Linked DNA regions of Oryctolagus cuniculus. The protein of the gene in region 2 purifies or fractionates together with the protein of the main gene of each other region. This does not show direct contact. Links are inferred from orthologs where the notes say so. Each region holds a gene or a part of one and is shown on either strand. Other genes may lie near its edges. The genes, in order: FXR1, G3BP1, HDAC6 and TRIM25.

Region 1 (3,883 bases), on a different chromosome or scaffold from region 2:
GTTTATGAAACACCATTCAGGACTGCTGCTTCTTGAGTGTTTTCTTCTTTTAAGGTATTAATCTTTTCTTCTCCTGGAGTACGCTGTAGCTTAGGAATTTCATCGCCAGAAGCACTAGTTGGGCCATTTATTGCCTTTTCTGAAGGACCATGTTCTTCAATCACATCTTTTGCCTGCCAAAGGGAGACAACTTTTTCAACTTCTTTATAAATGAAATCTATAGCTGAGGAGGAAAACAGCTACATAAACATTAATATTTAGCTAATTAAAAAATTCCAGTTTTATATGTCACAATGAATCCAAGAATTAAAATGTTTATAAAATTCAAAATACCAAGGTACTCCGCTCTGTGCCCTTCAACTCCATTATCTCTAGTAACTTAGCAGTGTCCAAACCACAGAAAGCATCTGTACTGTTTAAGGAAATTTTTTGGATACCAACCACTGGAAAGCTCACCATGAACAATATAAGTTAATGCCTAAGTAAAGCAATCACTACTGTACTCACCTTTTTTTATGAAACTTATTATATCAAATACCTTAAATTATTTCAAAGAATCAAATCTTTAAAGGTCCATCTCCATTACTGCAAAGAGTGTACAGCCTATTGCTTCCCAGAAGTCAACAGTCTCTATGCCCAACATCTTTGGGCAGACTGAATTTTACAAATGCTATTTAAAGTTTTAACTGAAAAGTATTTCAGGCTCAAGCATGCATACTTTCAGTTACCTGGGGCCAAGAACAAAATCGAGTTGTCTTTAATTACTTGTCTACTTAGGGAAACAAATGATCATACAGTAAGAAGTGAAAAAAATAAAGCTAAACAATAACCAAAATAAAAAAGAAACCCTACAGGTTAAATTCTCCTTACCATTTCTTTCTTGTTTTTAGCCAAAGTTTCCCTTGGGAGGTTTCTTTGTCTGCTCTGAGACTCAGCTCTAGAAATATAATCTGCAACTGTGACTGTTAAAGATGAGAAAAAAATTACAGGTGTTGAAAAATTTTCTAAAGTTTATTTATGGATAAAGAGTAATTTCACTGTTAATATAAAGTACTGGTGGGCCACCCAATTTCAGTATTTTCTTAAGCTGGGCACCACCTCAAACCAAAAACAAAGCTTGAATAATCTACCTATGACTTTAGCGCTGTCAACTGAAGTTTCAAGCTGGAGATTGAGGAAGTCTAAATTAAAATCCTCGTTCCCAAAAATCCAGCTATTTCCACCTGGTTGAAACTAAAGCTGAGGGACAAATTCGAGGTAGAAAGCTACAACCAATAATAGGGAATGTGGGTGCAGTGTTCTAGGCCCAAGACAGTGCTTGCTATGTTGGGGTGGGTAAATTTAAATTTGAAAATGTCATTAAAAATGTGCTCAAATATTATTTTTAAAAGAAAAAAAAACAATTAAAATACAACATGACACTTTCTTTAACATTTCTCACTAGAATCTGATATTAAAGTAAGAACCTATAAGTCAAATAAGGATGGCAAACCACTACCTATTCTAAAAAGTTGAATAAAGAATCAGAATGCATTCTGTGACCACCCCTGCCCCTCCCTCACTGCTAATCTTGCTATGGACTATCCAGAATATGTCTATGTAAAGTAATGGTAAGTTAGCAAAAAGGTGAACTCAGTTATATACTACTGCCAATCCTAGTACAACAAATCACCTCTACTCTACGGGTATTATATACTGGCCTCACTTTATATCTCAATCCTTTCAAGTAATTATTTTCTATCACAAACTGGGTGAGAGCCCTGATACATGAAAATACAGTATGTATTTTAAATTCTGGGTGAAAATTAATTATGTGAGAATTCAAATTTTAAGTAATTTGCTTGAAACCACAGGGAGAATTGATCCATAAGGTTCAAATTATGTCAAAATAAGTCATTTTGATATTACTAAAAGAAAGCTAGATAGTATATATAACTTTTCTTAACATGCTAGTACTTTAATATCCAAAAGTCTTTTAGAATTATTACTTGAATGAATCTTTTAAAATCATGTGAAAATCACTTTAGAACTTTCATCATTTTTATTAAAAAAAAAAACTGTAAGGTCACTTTTTAATCTAAGACTGCCTTTTTTCTTCTGTAGGAGACTCAGTATATTCATTCTGAAGCATTTTAACTTGTTTAAATTCACTGCTGGAGATAACAGTTTACAGTATTGGGAAGGGGGATATAATAATCCACCACATTACTACTTCTGCATCATGGTAGTGAGACTATCCCTGAGAATGAATCTAGCCATCCTTTGGAGACTAGCTTAGTAAATACATTCTGTTTTCACAGTTGAAGCCTCACTAATGCCTGGAAAAACTAATCTACTTAGAAGCCCTGTTGTTTATACAGACTTGCTAAATTTAAATATACAGCGAAATAATTCTCAATAGAATCCTTTGCTATGTACACAGATATATGATAATATATTTTGATACTGATATCATTAAAAGGCACTTGGCTGGAACGTCCTCTCTCCAAATAAAAGGGAACCAAAAGAAACCTCAGTTAATTCAAAGAAAAAATGTCTATAGCCAGTCCTTCTAAAAGCTTCCTTCTTAAATGTTCACTGCAGACTAAGAAATATTTATGTTGAAAACTTCAGCCAACCTAAATCTACAATTTGCACTCTAGAATTTCTTATAAGAGGGCTGAGTCAATCAGCTGCACATGTGAATGCACTGTTACACTGTAAGTGTAAAGAATACTCAATGCTTAATTTACTGCAAGAATAAGAAATTTTAAATGATAAATGATGGATTTTAAAGAATGCTATAAAACTTTAGATGAAGATTGCCTCTCAAACAGCTGCCAGGAGTAAAAAGGAAGCTTTTTTGCTCATTTCACCCACTCTATCTACCTACCTGTTGAAGAAGGGGAAGCTAGCAAATGCTAGGTCAAAGAGAAAGTGCAGAAAACAAGAGCATAAAAGAAACAGAGGCAGTACAGAACACAAATTATTCAAAACTACATTACTTGTTTCAATTAATATATATAGAAATCTCTGCCTCTTCTGCAACAAACCCCATTACTTTATTAATCCTTTTAGGTCTGTGAACTTAGTAATAACACCATTCACCATGTTAACCCATTATATCCCATTGTCTTATATTTAGGACACTTACAAAGATTTAAACTTAGCAAGTAATATATCACTTACGATAATTCTATTGTGTCACTGAAATCGTCCAAGAATAGAAAACTTGAGACTTAATGGGTTAACAAGTTATACTGTGATTAATTCTATGTTAAGTCCAGGCTGATAGCCTGAAATTTCCTATTTAAAGTAGGGCCACAAAATCTAACTACTGTGCTATTGTCAAAAAAATGTAAAAGATTTTCTTCATCTAAAATGTACTAAAGGACTAGCAGAAAGAAAAGGATAAACATTTTCTGAACACTTTCTACTTTTTGACAGTGTTTAATGCCTTTTAAAATGCCCAACTATTTTTACAAGAACTGGACCTAATACCCTTAAACCAGCTTTCCCAAATATCTCTACAACCACTAAACTTAAAATGCTAAAAATGCTAGAATTTATATCTTTTATTTGGGAAAAACACATGAAAGAATTTGGTTTGGAAAGAATGCAAAAACTGATTAGTTTGAAAGGGGTTTATTTCTGGTGCACACACATTTCTTCATTGTGAATATACATGTGATACTCTATACACAGGAAATGAAATTATGTTCAAAATAATTGACACAACAAATTTTGTTGAAGTTACTATAAAGTATAACTACTTAAAATAAGTTAACATTCTAAAACTAAATACTATTAATTTGAATAGTTAGTAGGTGTAAGGAAAAAAATCATCACACTACAATGAAACAAAACCATAACATGCATTCCTCTTAAGAAAAAAAAATATATT
Region 2 (3,883 bases):
CCTACTTCCCCACCTGCACCAGTCTACCCATCCACAGCCATAGGTAACATTAGGGCTCTTAAAAGATGGCTGGCGCCGCGGCTCACTAGGCTAATCCTCCACCTTGCGGCGCCGGCACACCCGGTTCTAGTCCCGGTCGGGGTGCTGGATTCTGTCCCGGTTGCCCCTCTTCCAGGCCAGCTCTCTGCTGTGGCCAGGGAGTGCAGTGGAGGATGGCCCAAGTGCTTGAGCCCTGCACCCCATGGGAGACCAGGAGAAGTACCTGGCTCCTGCCATCGGATCAGCACGGTGCACCGGCCGCAGCGCGCCGGCCACAGCGGCCATTGGAGGGTGAACCAATGGCAAGGGAAGACCTTTCTCTCTGTCTCTCTCTCACTGTCCACTCTACCTGTCAAAAAAAAAAAAAGAAAAAGAAAAAAAAAGAAAAGAAAAAAGGCTTGCTTCACTGTTAGAAAATATTTGGTGTCCTTGGCCCCAATCCAATGACACCAGATAGTCTCTCTCACTCTCCCCACATCTCACTTATTTTGAAACACCCTCTATGACATAACTAGAATTTGAGAATCACTGTATCTACTCAGCACTTTAAACCTCTGAGTAAGAAGAACCCTTGATTTCACATGTATGATTGCGCACTCATCAGTAAAACCTTTTGACTTCAAAGTTACTGCCATTTGTTTTTCTCAAAAGGATCTCAGGCTAGCTTTCTTTTCAAAACAAGCTTAACATAAGCTACAAAAGTGCAAGCTTTTTCCAATTATGACAGGCGTGGGTCAAATGAAGTGGTTACCAAAGAGTTATTTAAGAGCCAAATGACTCAGTCGCCTAAGTTTCTTTATATGAAGAAGATGCTACCATTTTTTCAAGTATTTGAAACAGCGGGACCAAATTGGTAATATCAAAATTCATTTAACACTTATCCAACCCCTTCACAGCCAACAGTTTCTGCAAAATGAAACATTCTTATTCCTATACTATTGCTCCAATGACAGTCCTGCAGAGGAACGCTGTTAAGAAAATAAATTAAACTGACAACTTAGTTGTCCTTCCATTAGTGATCAGTTATCACACAAAGGCTTGTTTCACATTTGTGTAAACAAAACCTTCACCCACCTCACACCCTCACACACAACACTCAACAAATAACATAGTATGCGAAACGAGTATTAGTCTATATTACCAGATTAAATTTTCTTCCAGAAATATTTTAATAAAAATTTGGCCATTTCCAAGAAATACCCACTGCATGCCCATCAATAAAAGAGAACCTTAACAAAATAGAAAATTTACCATATGGCTATGATTTAAAGGAAAAAAAAATTGCAGACACTCGAGTATATCAGTGAAGTAGTGAAGTCCAATATTAAAGTCACATTCCTTCTTATGGGCTATGATTAGGAATCCGGTTAGATATCAAAATAAAACTTAATACAAATGCAGAACTATTTAGGTCAAAGGACCTCTATAGAAATATCTGTCCTCAAAGGCATTCCAGTTTGAGACTCAATTTTAGAATAAGGCATAACAAATGTTAACAGATGACAAACAAACAAGGTGTTGATAAAGGGATTCTACAATTTCCCACATACTCTTAACCTGGTAAAAACAAATCTAGAATTTTTTTTAATTTATTTTTGTTTAAACAATTGTCAAGACTGGAATCAAAGAGAAGGCACAACAGTTTTGCTCTGGTTTTTTGTTATTTGGATTTCGGGACTTTTTTTGTTTTTGTTTTCTATTTTTTTTTACAAATACAAATTAAACATGAAAAAAATTCTACTTCAAAAAAATTCTAACAGTTCAAGAAAAGCTCATCAGTTGCATACTACACATTTAAAACCTATCTCACAATTTAAGTTTTAGTGGTAGAAACAGTGTTTCAGAATTGTTTTGTGATCACATACCAAAACAAATTAACTCTATTAACACCTTTTATTCAGTTTTTAGCCATACTAGAGAAAATGAAACTTGTTAAATTTTTCAGTGGCAACTTTTCTACACCAGAAGGTCATGACTCTCATAGAACAATTGGATTTTTCTTGCCTTCAAAATGTTTATCAAATCCTGTATCTCACAGGTTTCTGGAACATGTAGAAAATAAGAATATTCCAATGAATGAAACATACCAAATGTCAGTAATAAGCAAGACACATTCCTTTGGGGAAATGGCTATTTTAAAAAAATCCAGTCTGTATATGCAAAGTGTAAGCAAGGAAATTCAGTCTTTTGTCTTTATCTTCTTTATAAATCCAATACTCCTAAAATATCATTCCACAAAATTGGAAGTGAAGGACTAAAGGGAAGAAGGAGGGAAAAGGAGCACACACCATTAACACAAGAGAAGTGAAGTTGTACAAACGTAAGCAGTTTATAACAGACTAGGTCATACTCCAAGAAAGGCTGGTTGAAGAAATTCACCACTCTGCAGGAGCTGGGGTTTGTACGGCTGTGTGATGATCAGCGATGGGTAATTCATTGCCGTGGAGCAATCCCCCTTCCCACTCCGAATCCGGGTTTCTGCACCATGCCTCCACGGGGAGGGCCTCGCATTCCACCACCCAGCCCACCTCGAGGGCCTCCAGGTCCCCGCAGGCGGTTATCGCGACGATCTCCCTCCCTAGCAGCTCGAGTCTTCTTCTCTTCCACATTCAGACGGACTTCACCTCTGAACATGATGGGCTGTAAGAAGCAAAGTGATCTGACTTCACTCAGTGTGCTTACGGGCTATCAAAACAACAAAAAAAAACACAACAAAACAAAGCAAAACAAAAAAACCAGCGGAGCCAGCACTGCGGCAGAAAGTGCTAAACTGCCGGCATCCCGTATCAGAACACAGGCTCAAGTGCCAGCAGCTCCACTTCTGATCCCTGCCAATGTACCTGGGAAGTAGCTGTGGCTGGGACCCTACAACTATGTGAGAAACCCAGATGAAGTTCTGGACTCCTGGTTTTGGCCTGGCCTGGCTTCAGCCACTGCAGCCATTTGGGGAGTAAACCAGCAGCCAGAGTATTTTCCAGTCACTCTACTTTCAAATGCACAATTCTTTGTTTTAAAAAAAGAAAAAAAGAGGGGCCGGCACTGTGGCACAGCGGTTAATGCCACCACCTGCAGTGCTGGCTTCCCATATAGGTGCCCGTTCAAGTCCCAGCTGCTCCACTTCTAATCCAGCTCTCTGCTAAGGCCTGGGAAAGCAGTAAAAGATGGCCCAACTCCTTGAGCTCCTGGCTCCTGGCTTCGGATCAGTGCAGCTCCAGCCATTGCTGCCATTTGGGGAGTGAACCTGCGGATGGAAGACCTCTCTCTGCCTCTGCCCAACTCTGCCTTTAAAATAAATAAATCTTTAAAAAATAAATAAATAAACATACTGCTTAGTCTTGGGACAAGTAACTGGGAAGTAATTTATCAGGATCTTGTCTGGTCCACTGGGTTTATTACATTCTCTAAGATTTGAATTCAAGGCCAACCTAAACATATTGGCCATAAAATGGGATACAACAAAAAGTTTACAGGAAAATGGAATTAGAAAGGTAAGAATCAGCTTACCCTGTTGCTAAGGACCTTCTGAACAGGCTCAGAATCATCAAATACAACAAAACCAAAATTGGGCAGCTTTCCACCACTGTTGATGCGCAACTCCACCACATTCCCATAATCTGCCAAATGACAAAGATTCTTAGTAGAGTGTTTCCTTTAAACAAAGAGTACCATTCAGAACAGCAGCCACTACACATATGGAAACAGTATGCACTGAAAGGTGCCAGAAATATAAAACACAGGTTGAGTGTCCCTTATCTAAAATGCTTGCAAACCAACGTGCTTCAGATTTTTTCAGATTTCAAAATATCTGCATTTGTATATGTAAGATATACTTTAGGATGAATTC
Region 3 (3,883 bases), on a different chromosome or scaffold from region 2:
ACCTAAACTGCCAATAATTATTTCTGAGGTGATGGGAACTATGAGACTCTGCCTTAGACATTTCTGTATTTTTAAAAGTACTTTGTAATATTATCACAATCAGAAGAGATAAAATAATAATTTGAGGTTTAACCAGTTCAAGGGTCCATTAGTGAACAGGGGTCAGATCCTATTGTTGCCCCTTCTTCTCTCTGAGACCTCTTAATCTGTACACCTTAGTTCCTCTATCTGTAAAACAGGGAACCCAGAAGTCCCTGCCACTGAATGAAATAAGACAAGAGAACAGACACACAGAGCAGTGTTGGTCCTGGGCCCAGGGCAGGCCTAATACATGTGAACACCTTCCCCTTCTGGGCTCTTTCTGGCTGAACCTGTAACAGTAGAGGGCAGTTGGGAGTCTAGCACCTAGCGTGTACCTGGGGTCCTGGTCAAACATGAACTGTGTTCCTTGACCGTGGTGTATATCCCAGTCAACAATAAGGACCCTATAAGAAAAAGAGGGGGTTCTGTGCAAGGGGATTAAAGTGAATCTGGGGGAAGAGCCCAGACCCAGACAGGCCACCCTGTGCCACCCCTATCACACCCACCCTCTGCCACTGACCTCTGTATGCCATGCTTCTGTTGAGCATAACGAGCAGCCACAGCCACGTGATTGAACATGCAATACCCATCCATAAGACTGTGCTGGGCGTGGTGTCCAGGAGGCCTGGACAGAACAAAGAAGGTCACTGATGGGGGAGGTTCTCGTCTGCAGAGAAGGACTCCGACTCCCCTAGCTCCTTGATCCTGGACCAACTCCTCCAATGCCAATACCTGCAAATCTGTTAGCAACTGAGGAACTGGGGCCCTAGAATTCTCACCTCCCCTGCCAACCTACTGCTCTCTCTCTACCAAAGAGATTTGAAAGTGTTCACTCAAGTTCTCAATGTACACATTCTCATGCCCAGTCTTTCTGCAGTGGGGATTGAGCCCACAACTTATATATAAGAAAGAGGGTGAAACAACATGCTTATAAAGTACTGCCATACTTGCTGTGGCCTTTTTGAAACTGCAAATGATTGGGCAAAACCAAAATACTCATTGATAAAAAACTAGTTCACTGAAAGTGCAGGGATGCAGTGGTGTTCTAGCAGGGTCTAAGGTATATAGTGTTAGAGAAAGCTTTCCAAGATAGCTAAGTGAAAGAGCATGGTGCAGAAGGGAGTGTGTCAAGTACTACCATCTGTGGGTGACAAAGGGGAGGGGAGAAGAAGGGCTCTATCTTCTGCATTCCATCAATTCAGAGATGCCAACCATGACAATATGCACCATGTTTGCCAACAACAAAGCAGAAAATGGTGCTAATAAAATTCTGAGATGTCACTGAGATTTTCAAATGTACACCAAAGAATCAATGAAATGTAGTATTTATTCCTTGAATAAGAATATTTGTAAAATGATACACAAAGCACTGGTTATAATGACTCCCTCCCAGGAAGGGAAGTACGTGTCTGAGTGACAAGAGTGGAAAAAAGATTTTTTATTATATCCTTGCCCTTTGATACCTTTTGACTCTTGAATCCATGCCTATATTACATACCGTACTAATATATTTAATTTACATTTGAAGGAAGGACTTTTAAAAAGTGTGAAATGTGAAATATGAAATGCTGGAGGGTCCTACCTGATGATGGCCATGCCATTCCGGATCTCAGCCCCCAGGACTGCATCCACCAGCCTGAGGACAGAACCTGAAGCCAGGCAGGCACAGGAGTATGAGTTCTGGAGAGACAGTGGGGAGCCAGAGTATGAATAAATGAGGGAACAGCCCTGTTCACTTGGCTGCTTCCAGGGACCCCAGGATTGCAGCGACTGCTTGCCCCCACAGTTTTCATCCATACCGGATGCAGATATACTGAGTCATAGGTGTCTGCTAGGACACGGAGTTCCCCTTCTTTCATGTACTGAGTCGACTCCATCAGATCAATGTATTCTAGGCTGTGGACAGACAGAGGATGAGATTCAGGGCCCTGTCCCCTCCCTGGGTGAGCCTTCTACACGTGGTCAAATTATGCCTTCCCAGCTATCACCATGAGGGACCAGCTGGGATATAGGACACATTCCCTGTTTTTCCCCTAGCCATTGCCAATAATGTCCCCTGCCCCCCTGCTCTGGCTATACCAAATCCTACTCCCAGGCCCTTGGCCAGACTGTTCCAGTTGTCTGTTCCTCCTCCCTTCAGCCTTCCTCTGCATCTCACTTTTTCTCCTCCTAGAGCTCAGCTCATATCTTCCCTCTGCCAAGAGAGCTTTCCTTGAGCTATAGTGCTCCAGGCCTCTTATTCTCGATTCCTGCAGCCCTCTGACCCCTGTCCATACACCCACCCTCTGTTTACACAACCTGATGACAATAACAATGCTCAGCATGGACTGAGGATAGATCAGGGCCCATTCTGAGCACCAGACACACAGGAATCTTCCCGAGGAACTTAGGTTTACTTAGCCCCTTGGTTACAAGTGATGATACAGATTCAGACAGGCCCAGCAACTTGCCCAAGGCTGACCAGAGTCCACAACATTCCTTCCCAAAGCATCCAGCCTGCCCATGCTGGTCCAAGGCAGCCTCCTCCCCATCCCTGCAAGGCTCCCAAGCCTTCACCTGTGAACCAACATCAGCTCCTCCTTTTCTGCAAACCGCGCCTGAGAAGACATGAGAAATAAAGGGTTCAGGCACAGGCTGTGCCCAAGTCCTGCCAGATCCCTGCCCTCTGGGGGACTGCACTGACTGGGGGACTCACGTGAAAGGATACACAGCGATCCAGGAGGCCCTCCTGTATCAGTTGCTCCTTGATGGCATGGAGCCGCTCAGGACCTTCTGGGAAACTGGGGAGATGAAGATGCATATATTGGGCCACTGGGGAGCCCCAGGTCTGCTCTCGCCACATCTCTCCATCCACCCTTCCAGCTTCTGCCCTTGGTCCCCTAGCAGTCCATTCTACATACAGCAGCCAGACATTGGTTAAAACCCTGATCAGATCATGCATCTTGGCCACTCAAAATCCTCTCATGGTTCCCATACTACTAACAGTAAAAGCCAGTCCTCCCCCCCACCTCTGAACCCACATCCTACCACTCTCCCCTTCCCTGGCTTAGCTCCACCTATTCAGATTTCTTCTCTGGTTCTCAGTGGAACCACGTACTCTTCAGGCTGCCCCAGGGACTTCAGTCTAATTGCTGTCCTGCCTAGAATACTCTCCTCCAGATGCTTCCCTCCCTCGTCTCCTTCAGATCTCCACTCAAGTGTCAGTGAGGCCTTCCCTGACCGTCCTGTTTAAGACTGGAGTCCCTCCACTGTGCTATTTCGCTCCCTCCTGCCCTAGTTCTCTTTCTCACATACAGTAGCATTTACTTTTGGTTTGAACACTGTCCTTTTAAGAAATTAAACTAGACTCAAGTAAAAATTATTTTTATTATCACTTACTTTTATTGGAAAGTATTTCAAATTCATAATGGATGTTTTCTGAGTTTTGTCATCTATTTTAATGTTAAAGGTTCTTTTGACACACAAGTAGAGTGAAGAGTGTTCCGCACATGGGAACAGTGATTATAAAAAGATGACATAACATATGAATTGTGTCTTTTTTAACTGAAAAGCCGACAAATTGTCTAGTTATATTTCTCCCCCTAAACAACCACATACCATGTAGTAACTGAGTCTTCTAGGCAATATATTGAAAGCTGAGAGGATTAAAAATAAGATCAAGTCCTCAGATCCAATTAAGGGAGCCCTGCTACATGCAGGCTGATCAATATCAGTGGCACTGACTGACCACGTAGCTGCAAGACATCCTAATGGCCCCACTCAGAACATTTATTTCACGTAGCCTCTTTCCTTTCCAACTCAT
Region 4 (3,883 bases), on a different chromosome or scaffold from region 2:
GAATGTCCAGTTTACATGAAGACTGGGGTTTGTAAGGGAGTGGGGTCCAGTTCTTCCCATCTGTCTCCTTCCGCTCGTCCATCTTCTCCTGGAAAGAGTTTTCTGGGTGAAATAGGTACAGTTCCTCCCAGGGTTTTATTCCCCAGTGTCATCAGGCAGGGCGGCCCACTTGGCGCTGGCAGGAGGGCAGGCGGGGATCACGTGCAGAGTTCTCAGGGCTATGGACAGGACTTTGCAGTGTGGAGACCCACGCTGCTGGAGGCTGCCCCCTTCCCTCCTCTGGTGCTTTGTTGACTTTAGGCTCCACACACACACACACACACACACACACACGGGCTGATCTCTAACTTCCTACCTGGCGAAGTCCCAGGTATGGGCAGGTGTGTTGTTCCAGGTAATCCTCCTTGATAGCCCTATGGGGTGGGAGCAGTTGTTTCTCTTTTATGGCCAATGAAACTGAGGTGGTGGGAGCTGTACAGCTGCAAACTGGGACTTGAGCTGGGTCCGTCTGACCCCACATCTGGTTCTCTGAACTTCCTTACTGTGCAGCCCCCCTAAAGGATGATGGACTGCTTCAGAAAGCTCTACACAGGCGAGACACGGGGTGGCCGAGCCCCTGTGGGATGGACTCAGGGGATGGCCCCTGGTGTTGGGGGTGAGGCTGACGAGGAGCTGTCTCACCCTTGTTTGTTTTCTCTGCAGAACAAGCTGAGGTACAAACTCACCATCATGTACAGTCAGATCAATGGGGCGTCGAAAGCGCTAGAGGATGTGCAAGCCAGGCAGCAGGGTGTGCAGGTGAGTGGCCAGGCCCTTGTCCACCACCAGGCGGGATGGGGGCAGCCCTGACCTTGACAAGGCTGGTGTTGGGTGCACTCACAAGCATCAGAATTCAGCACCAGCCTTGCAGAGCAAGCAAAAGCACTGTGTGCTCAGGAGAGACCCTTTGCAAACCCAAGTTGAAAACCACCCACAGGCCCAACCGTGGGGGAACCTTCAGAACTTGAGCTGGGGGTGGCTGCTGTGGTACAGTGGTTAAACCACTGCTTGGGATACCCGCGTCCCATGTCAGAGTGCTGGTTCGAGTCCCGGCTCCCCTGCTTCTGATCCAGTTTCTGCTAGTGTGCACCCTGGGAGGCAGCAGGTATTGGCTGAAGTGCTTGGGTCCCTGCTGTCCTCATGGAAGACCCAGAGTTCTGGGCTCCTGGTGTCAGCCTGGCCCAGCCTTGGCTGTTGCAGGCACTTGGGGAGTAAACCAGTGGATGGAAGCTTGCTTGCTCTCTTTCTCTTTCCCTCTCTGTGTGTTATTATGCCTTTCAAATAAATAAGCATAAAAAAAAAGAACTAAAATGTAGGAATATAAAGAAATGATTATGATCTGAAATGGGAGAAAAACAGGAAGCCAATATCCACTAGAGTTGCATCTTCCCTAAAAAGAGTGTTGTTTCCTGGGGCGCTGTAACAAATTGCCACAACCTTGGCGACTGAAACAAATGAAACTCATTCTTTCCCGGTTTTGGAGGCTGGAAGTCCAAAATCACAACGTGGGCGGGATCAGTTGCAGCATGGGTGGGGTCACACTGCTCTGACAGCTGTGACCGAGAGGCCATTTTTGCCTCTCCCAGCTCCAGCCCCTCAGGCTGATGGCTTTGTGGCTGTGTGGCTCCAGTCTCCCCCTCCTTCCCCTCTGTGTTTCCAAACACCTGTCAAATAAAAACAAAACACCTGTCTTTAGATTTAGGGCCCACCAGCATAATACAGGGTGATCTCATGTTGAGATCCTCAATTTAATTACATCTGCAAATACCCTTTACTGGGAGGCAGGTGTCGGGGGATAGGGAGGGAAGGCAGCATTGGATCCATTGCAGGGAGTATAGGAGAAAAGATAGGAAGGGAGAATTTTTTTAAAAAAGATTTTTTATTTATTTGAGAGGTAGAGTTACAGACAGAGAGAGGGAGAGACAGAGAGGTCTGTCATCTGCTGGTTCACTCCCCAAATAGCTACAGTGGCCAGGGCTGGGCCAGGCTGGAGCCAGGAGCTGAGAAATTCATCACAGTCTCCCACAGGCCCAGGTGCCTAAGCACTCAGGCCATCTTCCGCTGCCTTCCCAGGTGCATTAGCAGGGAGCTGGGACTCGAACCGGCGCCCACATGGATGTCTGTGTCTCAGGCTGCAGGTTGACCTGCTGCACCACAACGCTGGCCTCTGCTAACACATCTTGATTTGGACTAGCCACGTCTCAAGGGCTGGGAATGGAGCACAGGCACTCTGGTGTGGGATGCGGGCATCTTGACTGGCACTTCAGCTGCGAGGCTCAGTACTCAGCCGCTCCATGCATTTCTTTACGTGCTATCTCATACACGTATGCATTCTGTAGCAATCGATTCTGCCCTTCTGTTTGTTTCTCAGCTTTACATAAACAGCTGCTTCTCCAAGTCTGTGTCTTCTTCAAGTTGTTTTTCTCTCTTGGAGCTTTATCCCTGCATGGCTCCAGTTTATTAATCCTCATAACCATTTGGCTTTCCGTCCTGTGAACAGCTCTGTCTCAAGTCTTCTGCTGACAGATTTCCGGGTTGTTCCCAGGTTCTCGCTGTTTCAAAGCGTGTCACTTATGAACATTCTTGTGTGTGTCGCTGAGGCAGGTGTCAGGGCATTTTCCCAGAGTGCTTTCCTAGGATCGCAGCCACCGAGTCATTGGGCACAAATGCCTCCGAATTTCCTAGACTGCCTGGTTGCTGCCCAGGGTGGCTGTGCTGGCTCCTACTGCTACAGGGCACAAGTCAGAGTTTCTGGTGCTCTGCCTCTCACCCACCTTGGGATGGCAGCTGTAGCAATTTTTTTTTTTTTTTTTTTGCCCATCTCACGGTTCTTCTCTTGCCTCGGCCCTCTTAGGAGGCTACAAACAGGAAGATAGAGCAGCTGCGACAAGAATACCTGGAAATCAAGGCTCTCATCGATGCCTCGGAGGCCAGCTCGACTCGAAAGATAAAGGAAGAGGAGAAGAGAGTGCACAGCAAGTTGGACACCATTCACCAGGTGCTCCTCAAGAAGAAGAGCGAGATCCAGGCCCTGAAGGAGAAGATCGAGGACGGCCTCAAGGAGGGGGACGAGTTTGAGTTTCTGGAGGTGGGTGGCAGGGCCCGGGACTGCCGGGTCTCTTAGCGATACGGTGGGGCCTGGTGCCGTCGGGCTGCAAGAGGTCAACAGAAGTATCTCTGAGTTTGCTGGGTTGCGACAGGACTTCAAGAACGTACCGCAGCCCCAGGGCTTAGAGCTGCTCAGCGGCTCCCTGGCCCTGGAGTATGGGCATGGCTCCGTCTGCGCAGGAGCTCACGACGCCAGCATCTGGGGGCTGGCTGGGCTGCGTTCCTTTTGGAGCGCACATGGCGTGGCCGTTGTTGGTAGAATTCATTTCCTTAGGGTTGAAGGAATGAGGTCGCCCCCTCCTTGCTGGCTGTCAGCCAAGGCCTCTCCCAGCTTGGTAGCTTCCTTCCTCAAAGCTAGCAGGAGAGCTGCTCCCTCGAGGAAGGCCTGGTCCTCCTTTTACCTGATTGTCTGGCTCACCCGAAAAAATCCCCCTCTGGATGAACTCCAGGTCAACTGATTCGGGGTCTTCTTGTTGTTTGTTTCTTTTTTTTTTTTTACTTTTTAATTTTTATTTTATTTATTTATTTTTACTTTTTTTATTTTTTTGACAGGCAGAGTGGACAGTGAGAGAGAGAGACAGAGAGAAAGGTCTTCTTTTTGCCGTTGGTTCACCCTCCAATGGCCACCGCGGCTGGCGCACTGCGGCCGGCGCACCGTGCTGATCTGATGGCAGGAGCCAGGAGCCAGGTACTTATCCTGGTCTCCCATGGGGTGCAGGGCCCAAGCACCTGGGCC

Evidence for each region.
Region 1: the proteins of G3BP1 (region 2) and FXR1 purify together in Homo sapiens (affinity purification with mass spectrometry; 3 studies listed by BioGRID and IntAct, with this or other methods). This does not show direct contact. The link is inferred for Oryctolagus cuniculus from reciprocal best matches to the Homo sapiens genes G3BP1 and FXR1.
Region 3: the proteins of G3BP1 (region 2) and HDAC6 purify together in Homo sapiens (affinity purification with western blotting; 4 studies listed by BioGRID, with this or other methods). This does not show direct contact. The link is inferred for Oryctolagus cuniculus from reciprocal best matches to the Homo sapiens genes G3BP1 and HDAC6.
Region 4: the proteins of G3BP1 (region 2) and TRIM25 purify together in Homo sapiens (affinity purification with mass spectrometry; 4 studies listed by BioGRID and IntAct, with this or other methods). This does not show direct contact. The link is inferred for Oryctolagus cuniculus from reciprocal best matches to the Homo sapiens genes G3BP1 and TRIM25.

Annotation. Positions count from the first base shown.
Region 1 is NC_091435.1:98,687,472-98,691,354, forward strand, and holds part of FXR1 (RNA-binding protein FXR1), read right to left. Parts: exon of another isoform or gene 963-3,883; coding exon 871-962; intron 174-870; coding exon 3-173; 3' UTR 1-2. UniProt on the Homo sapiens protein: mRNA-binding protein that acts as a regulator of mRNAs translation and/or stability, and which is required for various processes, such as neurogenesis, muscle development and spermatogenesis.
Region 2 is NC_091437.1:38,784,477-38,788,359, reverse strand, and holds part of G3BP1 (ras GTPase-activating protein-binding protein 1), read right to left. Parts: intron 3,654-3,883; coding exon 3,544-3,653; intron 2,680-3,543; coding exon 2,473-2,679; 3' UTR 1-2,472. UniProt on the Homo sapiens protein: Protein involved in various processes, such as stress granule formation and innate immunity. Plays an essential role in stress granule formation.
Region 3 is NC_091453.1:33,990,496-33,994,378, reverse strand, and holds part of HDAC6 (histone deacetylase 6), read right to left. Parts: intron 2,862-3,883; coding exon 2,777-2,861; intron 2,679-2,776; coding exon 2,638-2,678; intron 1,978-2,637; coding exon 1,881-1,977; intron 1,762-1,880; coding exon 1,664-1,761; intron 707-1,663; coding exon 602-706; intron 486-601; coding exon 417-485; intron 1-416.
Region 4 is NC_091448.1:32,516,226-32,520,108, reverse strand, and holds part of TRIM25 (E3 ubiquitin/ISG15 ligase TRIM25), read left to right. Parts: intron 1-702; coding exon 703-798; intron 799-2,893; coding exon 2,894-3,127; intron 3,128-3,883.